Linked DNA regions of Coturnix japonica. The main gene of each other region encodes a partner of the protein of the gene in region 2 in a complex. Links are inferred from orthologs where the notes say so. Each region holds a gene or a part of one and is shown on either strand. Other genes may lie near its edges.

Region 1 (3,520 bases), on a different chromosome or scaffold from region 2:
GGAGCAGGAGACAACAGAGCAGGGTGAGGGCAGATCCGCACTGGTGTGTTGTGAAGTGGCACTGCGCACCTTGTCATGCCAGCGTGAGAGGACAGCTGTGGGTCGCTGGTTTTGCAGCCATTAATTTTGCATCTTGTAAGGGTGGAAAAAAACCAAAAAGGATTTAAAGAATCCTTTTCCTCCCCCACCCCAGAAAGCATCATTGGAAGAAGACCAAAGCAGAGCAACTATGAGTTACATACACACTTGAGCTGAGCTGCATTACATAGCTCTGTAGGAGAAGCAGGCGGAAAAGATTTGTTTGTTTCGTTTAAATCTGTGCATTTTATTTCCCTCCGTCCCTTAGCTCTGTTGCTTTCCCTCTGGATGCTATCACCCCCTGAAGAAGGCGGGGTTCCGCAGGCAGGCGGCTAGTCACCTGCAGCACCCCAGTGGCCCCGCCGACGCTTCCAGGCTGCTGTCCGTGTCGGACGCCAGCGTCTGATCCGTGGACATGGAGGAGATGTCATTGGCCGATGAGGATGGGGGGAGGCTCTCGCTGCTGTTCACTGCTGCACCTGTGCTACGAAAATGAACACCACCGTGATTCAACCCGAAACCTCAGAACCTCTCACAGGTCAAATAGAGGAGAATGCAACCCTGTGGCAATGTTCAGAGCGTTCTGAACAACATGAGCAGAAAATGGGCCCTACCGGCTTCAGACATTGGGTAATGTCAGATATTTTACCCAGAAAATCTCTCCCTCAGCAGTCTCTTTGAAAGGGGTACAGTTCATGCCATATCCTAACCCTCGGTTTCTTATCAAGCCATCTTATTGTGCTCAACATCCCATCCTTGTCACTCCTTAACACTTCTTATCAGTCTCCTCAGCGTTACCAACACCCAACAATCAGATGTCATCTGGGATTATGTGGGTTATCAGCATGAGGACTCAAAGAGCAAACTAACAAGCAAACCCAACCATGCAAACACAGCAGCCCTCCAATATGTGGGCTAGCATGAGATCATATGGTGGCAATGCAGACACAGGAGTGGGGAGACAAAGCTGCTTTGTCTCTTAGTTAAGGACCAGGTGCCCAAGTTCAGGATTTTGGTTGTGACAGCATTTTTGTGCATCACAGTTCACTTGTCCTCTGTAAAATGACAGCATTAACCTTCACAATCATTCTGACTCTGCAAAATGATGAACCTCCATGAAGTTATCAGTAACACAAGTAAACATCTATCATAAACATAAATATTATTTACCACTGTTACCAGGGCAGCTCAGTCCCAAATTCCAAGCAGACCCCATTTCAAGCATTAACATAGCACTGCAGTTCCATTAATAAAGCTCAACCCACTAAATCACTGAATTGCCCTGAAACCTCTGAAATTAGTCTACGTAGCTTCTGGTGCACCTGAATGCTTTATCTGTTTCTGTTTTCTTTCTGTCAACACAGAAAGGAGACACAACTGCGCCATTCACTGGGGCTGAGTACCTGAAGGAGACGGCTGTCCTTTTACTACGCCATTTTTCGTTTTTTCTTCAGAATTCATTACTTCTTTGTAGATGAGTTCTGGAACAGACAATTCCAACAGTTACAAACAAGAACAGTACCGGTCATCAGCAACAACAAAATCCTCTGATGCCCCCCATAGTCCAACCCTATCCTGTCCTCCTAAGTTCTGACAGCTCTGCTCACATAAAACCTCTCTCTTCCATTCCTCTCCTCTACTGACAGCTCTTCTTGGAGCTGTATTAAGACAAACAGGGCTACGCTAGAACACATTCGTTGTTTCACGCTGCTTTAAGTAGAAATGGAGCAGTACAGCTTTGCTATATGAAAAATGATGGCGTATCTTCCTGTTAAACCAGCACCCCGTTTTCTAGGTGATAACATTTCAATGAAACAACATAATCTGCACCTCCCTTCTCAATGCTGATCTGTGCTGACAATGACAGTACCCAGGATATTCGTATCTGTGAGGGCTGCTCCAAAAGTAAGGCCATGCAGATTTTCACAAAAGCAGCATGCAGGCTGGCCTCATTGCTTGTGAAAATGCATAAGTAATGAAGGTGACTACATTGAAAAACAGCAGGTTTTGAGTTGTTGTTGTATCTGTTGTAGTTTTCAAGGGAACAAATCGAGGCATTGCTTTCAGAGTGACCTATGCAATATTTTCACTATCAAGCAGCGGTTCTTAGGGCTGGGTTTGGTTCTTGATGCCAGAGGAGTTACGCAGACACACGTGGGATGGGACCTCTCCACCTAACTCTGAGCTGTGCGCACCTTTCCACTCCTCAATGGTGTGCTCCCGCTCGTCCAGTTGTTTGTCATAGATCTGGGGGGGCGGCTGCAGAAGAGGAACAAAATCGTTCAATATATTTTTCACTATACCATAAATAATTAGCACTACTTACTTAGGTAAAGATAAATTTTCCTCTCCCTCTTTGTTCATTATCCCATGTGTGCAAAACACCCAAACATGAATATTAGAAGTGTTAACATCTCTGGAAATCAGCTCTTAATATGGACAGTGCTTCTCCCTCATCCTCTTCAGAACATGAGGCTGCAATGTGTTGCAAAATCTGCAAATTACAGAACTGTGCTGCAATGGGATTTGGTCAGTGCTGCCATCATTCTGCTTGTGCCAAGCCCATAAATCCCATATGCAGAACTTTTGCACAGGCAAAGGACAATCAGAGCACCAAACAGACAGCAGTCCAGAATAACTCGCACTGACATTTTTAAGGCTGTGTATTAAATACCATAGCTCATGAGTAAGCAACCTTTGGGTCCACCTGGGCTGTACTGAGTGAAGAGGAATTTTTTTGGGCCACATATAGAACATAGACTATAGTTAACGTAAACAAGGAACAAAACATGAGACTAGTGAGATATTTGACCTTGCTCTTGTGAAACTAATGCATCTGTCAGGTTCCATGGAAGTGGCTGCAGTTCTAAGTCTGCACTCTAGATTGATGAAACTTTTTGTTTTTTAAAGAAAATAAGCCCACAGAGTTAAAGGTTCTGTAGATGGCAAAGCCATTCCCTACGGAGCACCTCTGAGCCATGTATTGTGCAAAAACTCATGCAGTAAAAAACTGGTGGTTATTTTGTTGTTGTTCTGCAGGGATTGGGGCCTTATTTTCCCATTGCTATCAGTTGGATTTCTTCCACTGCAGATGGAGTGCTCTTTCCATACACTGCTTTCAAACACCTCTGAGTTTTTACCTATGCATGCTATTTCATGTCCCATAGCCCAGGAACACACATGAGCCCATACATCATCATCCATCATTTTAGGAATTTATGTCATAAAGCACCATCCCCACGTTTTTCCAGCCTGCAGCACAGAGCTGCATCCCACTCACCGCCTCCACCTCGGCGGGGTCGTACCAGACGTTGATGTATGGGTGCTGCAGGGCCTCATCCACTGATATGCGCTTGGCTGGATCAATGACCAGCATTTTGGACAGCAGGTCCCGAGCTTGGCTGGCTGCAGAACAGACAGCATGAAAACACTGTGATTGGCA
Region 2 (3,520 bases):
AAGCAAGGCTGCCAGGGGGTGCAGCCCTCAGCCCACATCCTCTCCCTGCCTAGCACTCACTGGAGGAACGCGACCGGCCACTCATGAAGACGTTGAGGAACTTCTTGGAGAAATGAATGTCCGCCTCAGGGGTGGAGTCCTCAGAGAGGCAGACCGAGTCACGCTTCAGCGCATCCTCCTCATACTCCTCGCCGATGGCTGACTCGTAGGGTGAGGAGACGCAGTTGTCATAGACAGTAGCCGAGTCACTCTCATCACTGTAGCCCGAGTAGCACTGCTTGAGGCTGACCAGCTCCAGCTGCACGTTCTCATCCACCACCAGCGTGTACTTGACCGAGTCGTAGGAGAGGGCACTGGTGTCCGAGCTCACGGATGCTCTCTGAAGGCCGTGGCCTGGCCGGTAGCCACTGCTCCCACCGCCGCAGGAGGCCCGGGGCAGGCTCGTCTTGTCAGGGGAGGACATGTAGTCCAGCACCTCATCCTCCTCACTGATGGAGGGGTTGGTTTTCCCAGCCAGGGCTGAATAGCTGGAAGTGTCGATATCGGAGCTGATAGACATACGGTTCTCACTGGACTGTGACAGGAACGGCTTTTCGGTCTCCAGCGGGTCTGAGTTCTTCTGCACAGGTGTCAGGTAGATCTCCTCAGTGGCCTCCAGCCTCACATCTGTCTGGTAGCGGATGCGGTCCCGGTGGGCCTCGGGAGCCCTCGACGTCACCACCACCACACTGGCACCGTGGGGTGGGGGTCGGCTGGCAGCCTGGTGCTTCTCGGGGGGCCGGGATGAGGCAACGCAGGCGGGTGCCATCTGGGTGGCTGCCGTGCGCCGGCATGGGCTCTCCGTGGATGTGCCCCGGTCTTTGGTGGAGGTTGTGCTGTTTTGGTGATTGACCTCATCACTCAGGCAAACGTGGTCATGGGGAGGGGTCTGTTCACCTGTGAGGAGAAGAGCAGTATTTGTGCTCCCACTGATAGGGATGCCCCAGACTCAAGCTGGACACATGCCCACTGGGGACAGTCTCCCAACCCTCTGTTTCGGCAAGGCTTGGCCCCAGCCCTGGGCCAAGGATTGACTCCTAGGAGCTACCAAAGAGTGCAAGGGGCTGCTCTCAGTTACCAGCCCCACAACTCACCCGTCTTCAGAGGGGACGATGACCGGGACACCCGCTCTTGCCAACTGTGCTTTTTCCCCAGAGAGTTGTTATTCAGGGTGTCCTGGGGAGGAGAACAAAGCCGCCTTGTCACTCCAGCAGTAAACAGCACGTGGCGCCTGTCCCTGCCTGCCCCACAGAGATGTGCAGAAGCCAGAGCCATCACGGTCCCTGGGCAATGCCTGAGACCACCCAAGCACTTCCTCAGGGTCGCTGTGACCATTCTCAAGTGCAACCAGTGCACACTTTGCTCCCAGACTTTGCAGATGGTTCTGGGGGCAGCACAAGTCTTTGTCCCTCTGCAGCAGCCACATTTTCTGTGCTGCTAGTTTTTGCTCAAGCATCAAGCTTGGGATTCTTGGGGTTTTCTCCTGCAAGCAACCCTCTGCCTTAATGCCCACTAAGATCCATGGGATTCCCTGTCCTGGAGCACAGGCACTCCATGTTCCTGCTGCCAGCTTTATCAGACCTGTGTGGGAAAGCTCCTGTCCCCAAAGTCCTCAGCACAGACCACACCCATGGATCCCAGTGTGGTCCCACAGCCTCCACCATCCCCTGCAAGGACACCATCATCTCCCCTCCCCAGCCCACCATCTATACAACCCACACACCCCAAAAATACCTCTCCGCAGGTCTGGACGCTGGTTGGGACCAGCTGCCCGGGGGGGGCCTTTGCCGTCCCCGTCCCCCCAGCTGGATGTGGCTCCCACGTGCCACCGGCTCCTCGGGGTCCCTGCGCAGGGTGGGACAAGGCTGCCTGCTGTCCCCTTGTCCATTATGCTCCAGCAGGCTCCCCCCCACCCCCCACCTCCCCATCCCTGCTGCCTTTGTCCCCGGTGCCAGCTGCCCCGCAGCCATTGTCCTGGCTCTGTGCCCTCCTCCTCCTCCTCCCACCCATGGCCTCAGGCAGAGCTGGCATCAGCTGCAGGTTCCAGGCTGGTGACACCTAGCTCCGACTACGCCCCATCTGTCACCCGCAGGGACACCTGCCTCTAGCTTCAAGCCCCTCAGCTGCACGTCACTGCCATGAAAATCCTCCTACTTGGCAAGAGAAGCCACTGCTGAAAGCAGGAGGAAGGCAAAAATAGCCCTGTGTGCAGCACACCTTGTGCAGGTCTGCAAGGTTTGCAGGAGAGATGGGGCCAAGGGACTCCAGCGTAACTCTCCTGGGGACAGCCCCACTACTGCATCTGGGAAAACACCCCATCCAAAACCTCCTGCAAGCCCTGAGAGTGAGCGAGACAAACCCCCATTCTCCTGACCACCATTTCGGGTAATGCGACTGTCGCTGCGATTTTGCACGGGGCGCTGACACCGATGCCCCCCTAGCCGGGTGTAGCCGCCCAGGAGAAGGGCCCCAGTCCCAGAGCCGAGCGCACGCACAGGGCTGCGTCACCGGCCCGTCCCAGGCTGCGGCTGCGGCGCTGGCAGCCCCAGATCTGGGACGCGGCGCTGGGACGGATGGCTCATTCACGCGTTCAGGCTGCCACGCCTCATTAGCTCCCCGTCCCCACTAAGGTCCCTTCCCCGCTCCCTGTCCCCTTACCCTGGCCCTACGGGCCCGGGGCGGGCACAGCCCACCCTTAAGCCTCCCCACGCTCGGAGGGGCTCGGCTCAGCAGGAAACGAGCTCATCTCCCCCCGCATCCCTCCACGTCCCCGACCACGCACCCATCCCCGACAGAATCCCCCAGCGCCGCGAGATCCCCCCGTGCCGGCGCTCACCTGGCTGCGAGGCACCTGCGGGAAGAGGTTGAGCGTGGTGGGGCGCTTGGGCCGGTAGCTGTCGGTGCTGGCGGGCGGCGGCTCCTTTTGCAGGGGCTCGGGCGCCGTCTGCTCCTCAGCCGGCGCATCCCCGGCGGCGTCGATGAGGTCGAGCTGCAGCATCTCGGCCTGCAGTCGGCCTCCCTCCCCGCCGCCCGCCGCCCGCGCCGCGCTGGCCGCCCGGCTCACGCGGCCCTGCCGGGATCAGCGGCTCGGTCAGCGGGCGGGGCGGGACGGGACGGGACCGGGCGGCCGGTCGCAGCCTTTTAAAGGCGCAGGGATGCTCCCCGCCGCTCTCCCTCCAAGCCCCCCCCCACTGACGCGCCTCTTCTCGGACGCTTCGAGCTTTAACAAGGAAACACGCATAGGAAAAGGAGGGGGGGGATCCCCGGCTGGCTCCGTGATACCTAGCTAAGGTGGGCTGCTGCTGCCAGCCAGCCCAGGCTGCTGGTATGATCCCGAATCACTGGGAAAACTCAGAGGAGGAAAGTCCCAGAAGGATGCAGAACAGCAAAACAGTTTGAGCAACATACGCTGTAGGAGCAGTGCTACGTTCAGGATTCAATAGCTAAAAGGAAACTACAGCTGCTGTTGGTCCATGTTAAT
Region 3 (3,520 bases), on a different chromosome or scaffold from region 2:
TCTGTTTTGCAGAAGTATATCCTTTGCCAGTTATTTCTTATTATTTCAAGTAAAATACATCTTGCTTTCAATACTCAGATGCAGTCTTGTGTTGCTTCTCTTTTTTCTCTATGAAGATACTCCTAATTAATGGTGAAGTTGAGATTGTGTGGTAATTTTCTGTTTTAATTTCTGTTGGTCATTTGTTTTAACATAACTGTTAGCTGAAAATTAGACACTGTTTTTCTTAGCTATGAAACCTTAGATATTGATCAATGGAATAAAGTTATAGAGCAGCTAGGAACACCGTGCCCCGAATTTATGAAGAAATTACAGCCCACAGTTCGAACTTACGTGGAGAACAGACCCAAGTATGCTGGATACAGCTTTGAGAAACTCTTTCCAGATGTCCTTTTCCCAGCTGATTCTGAACACAACAAACTTAAAGGTAAGGTCTGCCTTTTGTGTGCTGTATGTTTTTAAAGTTTTTAAACTGTGTCATACTGAATAGAAATGCATCTTGCTTTTGTTCAATATAAAATCCTCCTGTTAAGGATTTAAGTGTTAAAATATTTATGTAATGGGGGCAGATGGAAGTGCTAAGGTATGGTTACTGCCACTTCCTCATATTCTCTGGAATAGCTCCTATTCTTTAGATATCTGAATAAAGAAACAGGAGTGTATTTCTCACAATAACAGACGTGGGTTAGAGAAAAATGAGAGGAGAGGGGAGTGTAGATGTTTCATAGCCACAGTGGACCTTCTGTACTGCCAGCAGGTAAGGATGCCATGTCCAGGGTGGTGTATACTGAAACCCTGGTGGGAGACATCTGTCACTTGATGTGATCGTGGTAAGGCCTTTGTGTCAGGCCTATATATGAATACTTTGCCCATAGAAAAATAATTAAAAAAAATACAAACCTCAGCTATACCTTGAAACTCATAACATATTTTACGTATTATATCCTTTCGGATCATCACAACCAATGCTTTTCCTTCTTCAGCATTTATCTTTCAAGCACTTCAGAAATGTTCTCTCTCTCCTTCCAATCTGATGAACTATTATTACTTTGTACAATTACTTTCAATCTTCATAGTGATGACTTCAGCATTTAGCTGAATTTGAATATCCCTTTCTAAAAGGGAACTTAGCTAACTGAAAGAAAAGGTTGATGGAAGTTGCAGTGTTGCAGCTGGATGTTGCATAGAAATGACTTGATGGCTTTGTGGCATACTGTGTTTCCATCCAGATGATTTACTAGCCTTACATTGAAATGGCCACTTTAATTAATGGACACTCTATTTGTCTTCAGTGTATTTGTGTGGTTTTCCTTCTTTTTATTGCATTTTGTTTCTTGTCTGTGTTTGGCCAGTAAAGATTTTTCTCCTAGCTGGAGGTTATCCCTTCTCATATTTCAGCCAATCTTTGCTTAAGCAAAAATAATGGGTGCTTTCTTTTTCTACTCTGTTTTGCTGAGGAAGAAAAGAGAGATTAGAAAAAGATGTAGGAAGGAGGAGTTATTGGTTATGTCCATTTTTGCCCAGTCCTCTATTTTTAAAACGAAATCTTTTATAACTATTTTCTAGTCTTCTGTTAGTTTCCCAGCTCCTATTCTCAAATTACTATTTAAATTATTATTGTCCTGCTAACAAGCCTGATAAATAAGAAACATTCTGTGGTTGGTGTTCCCTTGCCTGCTTGTAGGACGATTGTGCACAGTTGCTGTAGAACTATCTTCCATGGAATGTTTTACTTTTTTTCTAAATACTACACAGTCATAAATTCTTTCCAAAACATTTATCTCTTTGTTTTCCTTCCTTCATCAAAAGCACCATTTTCTTAAACCTCAAAGTACATGAGGGTTGTATAAATAATAAAATGGAGTTTGTTATTTAAGCGTTCTTTCTTTATGAGCTTTGAAATACTGTTATGTGCATTTGGCACCTGTCTAAATAGAACGTTTCACTTTTGCAGCAAGTCAAGCAAGGGATTTGTTATCAAAAATGCTTGTAGTAGATCCAGACAAGAGAATTTCCGTTGATGAGGCCTTACGTCACCCTTATATTACTGTCTGGTATGATCCGTCAGAAGCCGAAGCTGTAAGTCCTTGTTTTTGGTCTCCAATGAGGAAGATCTTTTATCAAAGCAAACTTGTTTCGATTCTCTGTGTAACTGCTTCAGAGGAGGCTGCTTCGTGCTCTTCCAGTTTCGCTAGAAGCTTAATTGAACAGTAGTAATATTTTTTGACATGGTCGATATGTTTATTGGAATTAGTAATAGGAATGGGCACAGACTTGTAGGTAGCTGCAGTACTTGTGTATGTGGTTTATGTATAATTGCATGTAAATTCCTAGACATGGAGCAATGAATTTGAAGTCTCCGATATAGAGTTCTGATTTATTGAGTTGTAGTTGTTTCAACATGGTTTTTCTGCTTGTGATTGCATTCCACGTGTTTTCTCCTGGGCATTGTTACAGCAATTGATAGCACTCTTTAACTAGCAAATAATAAGCGTTTCGTCAAAATCTGATACAAGATCTCAAGCTTTGAATTACTGACACTGATGAAGGAAGAGATTAACTGAAAATCTTCCTTTAAAAAATAATTTCAGTCTATCTATCTATCTATCTATCTATCTATCTATCTATCTATCACAAAAAAAAAAAAAAAAAACCCCAAAAAAAAACCCAACTCTCATTTTTAAGAAAAAGCAAGCTGGTGATGGCCCACAAAGAATCAGGAAAGATGTTTGGTGTAAGTGGTACAATTAGAATTCTGCTGATCTATTATATCTAGAGAGAATATGAATAAGCAACTCTAAATAGGTCAAAAGGACTGCTTGAGACCACTGCAGTTTAAGAGCATTATTACCAGCCCTTTCAGTTTTTGTTTTAATTTTTACACTAACATTCACAAATGAGCTAACTAGAACAAGTTGAAAACACAAAGCAGCATCTAGAAAATGAACCGTGTATGAGAGATTATTTGATTATGTAAATACGGTATTTTTAAATCAGGTTCTTATTCTGAATATCTTATTTCCATTTTTCATTAATTGTGCTTGTCTGTCCCCTTTGACTGCTTTATCATGAGTTAGTTCTGTTTTCCAGCCTCCACCAAAGATACCAGATAAGCAGTTAGATGAGAGGGAGCACACAATAGAAGAATGGAAAGGTGAGAATGATCCTTTTGCATATCCTAAAGGTTTTTAATGTTGATGGGCTCCTAGGTTTACTGTTACTAAGATTCTGAGTAATGTAATAGTATATACTTAAACTGCTTGGAATGGCAAGGGAATAGATCAGTGCTTTACAACCTCTTGGTTGTCAGGACAGGAAACATTTTCTGTAAAGGTGAAGAGTCTTTGTAGGGAGATGAAGGTCACTCAGCTGTAGGCCTACTCATTTGAATTGCCTTTCATAAATGGTAAAGCAGCATTTTTAGAAAGGGAAACACTTCTGGACAAAAGTCGTATGGGTGAAAAGGGATGAATGAGTTGGAGCATGCAAGTCTGAACATTAGTGTGTTTAGCATTATTTG

Evidence for each region.
Region 1: the proteins of MAPK8IP1 (region 2) and MAPK10 are in contact, whole or in part, in a crystal structure (PDB 3PTG), measured with the Homo sapiens proteins. The link is inferred for Coturnix japonica from reciprocal best matches to the Homo sapiens genes MAPK8IP1 and MAPK10. Residues at the interface, in NP_005447.1 of Homo sapiens: Pro158, Lys159, Arg160, Pro161, Thr162, Thr163, Leu164, Asn165, Leu166; in NP_620448.1 of Homo sapiens: Asp150, Ala151, Gln155, Val156, Met159, Leu161, Glu164, Arg165, Tyr168, Leu169, Tyr171, Val197, Lys198, Ser199, Asp200, Cys201, Trp362, Asp364, Glu367.
Region 3: the proteins of MAPK8IP1 (region 2) and MAPK8 are in contact, whole or in part, in a crystal structure (PDB 3VUM), measured with the Homo sapiens proteins. The link is inferred for Coturnix japonica from reciprocal best matches to the Homo sapiens genes MAPK8IP1 and MAPK8. Residues at the interface, in NP_005447.1 of Homo sapiens: Arg157, Pro158, Lys159, Arg160, Pro161, Thr162, Thr163, Leu164, Asn165, Leu166; in NP_001310257.1 of Homo sapiens: Lys83, Asp112, Ala113, Gln117, Val118, Met121, Leu123, Glu126, Arg127, Tyr130, Tyr133, Val159, Lys160, Ser161, Asp162, His286, Val323, Trp324, Asp326, Glu329.

The regions. Positions count from the first base shown.
Region 1 is NC_029519.1:40,883,401-40,886,920, forward strand, and holds part of MAPK10 (mitogen-activated protein kinase 10), read right to left. Parts: intron 3,484-3,520; coding exon 3,359-3,483; intron 2,338-3,358; coding exon 2,274-2,337; intron 1,560-2,273; coding exon 1,482-1,559; intron 563-1,481; coding exon of another isoform or gene 558-562; coding exon 415-557; 3' UTR 1-414. UniProt on the Homo sapiens protein: Serine/threonine-protein kinase involved in various processes such as neuronal proliferation, differentiation, migration and programmed cell death.
Region 2 is NC_029520.1:21,393,955-21,397,474, forward strand, and holds part of MAPK8IP1 (C-Jun-amino-terminal kinase-interacting protein 1), read right to left. Parts: intron 3,110-3,520; coding exon 2,876-3,109; intron 1,885-2,875; coding exon 1,774-1,884; intron 1,216-1,773; coding exon 1,134-1,215; intron 937-1,133; coding exon 61-936; intron 1-60. UniProt on the Homo sapiens protein: The JNK-interacting protein (JIP) group of scaffold proteins selectively mediates JNK signaling by aggregating specific components of the MAPK cascade to form a functional JNK signaling module. Required for JNK activation in response to excitotoxic stress.
Region 3 is NC_029521.1:15,712,390-15,715,909, forward strand, and holds part of MAPK8 (mitogen-activated protein kinase 8), read left to right. Parts: intron 1-244; coding exon 245-427; intron 428-1,954; coding exon 1,955-2,079; intron 2,080-3,090; coding exon 3,091-3,154; intron 3,155-3,520. UniProt on the Homo sapiens protein: Serine/threonine-protein kinase involved in various processes such as cell proliferation, differentiation, migration, transformation and programmed cell death.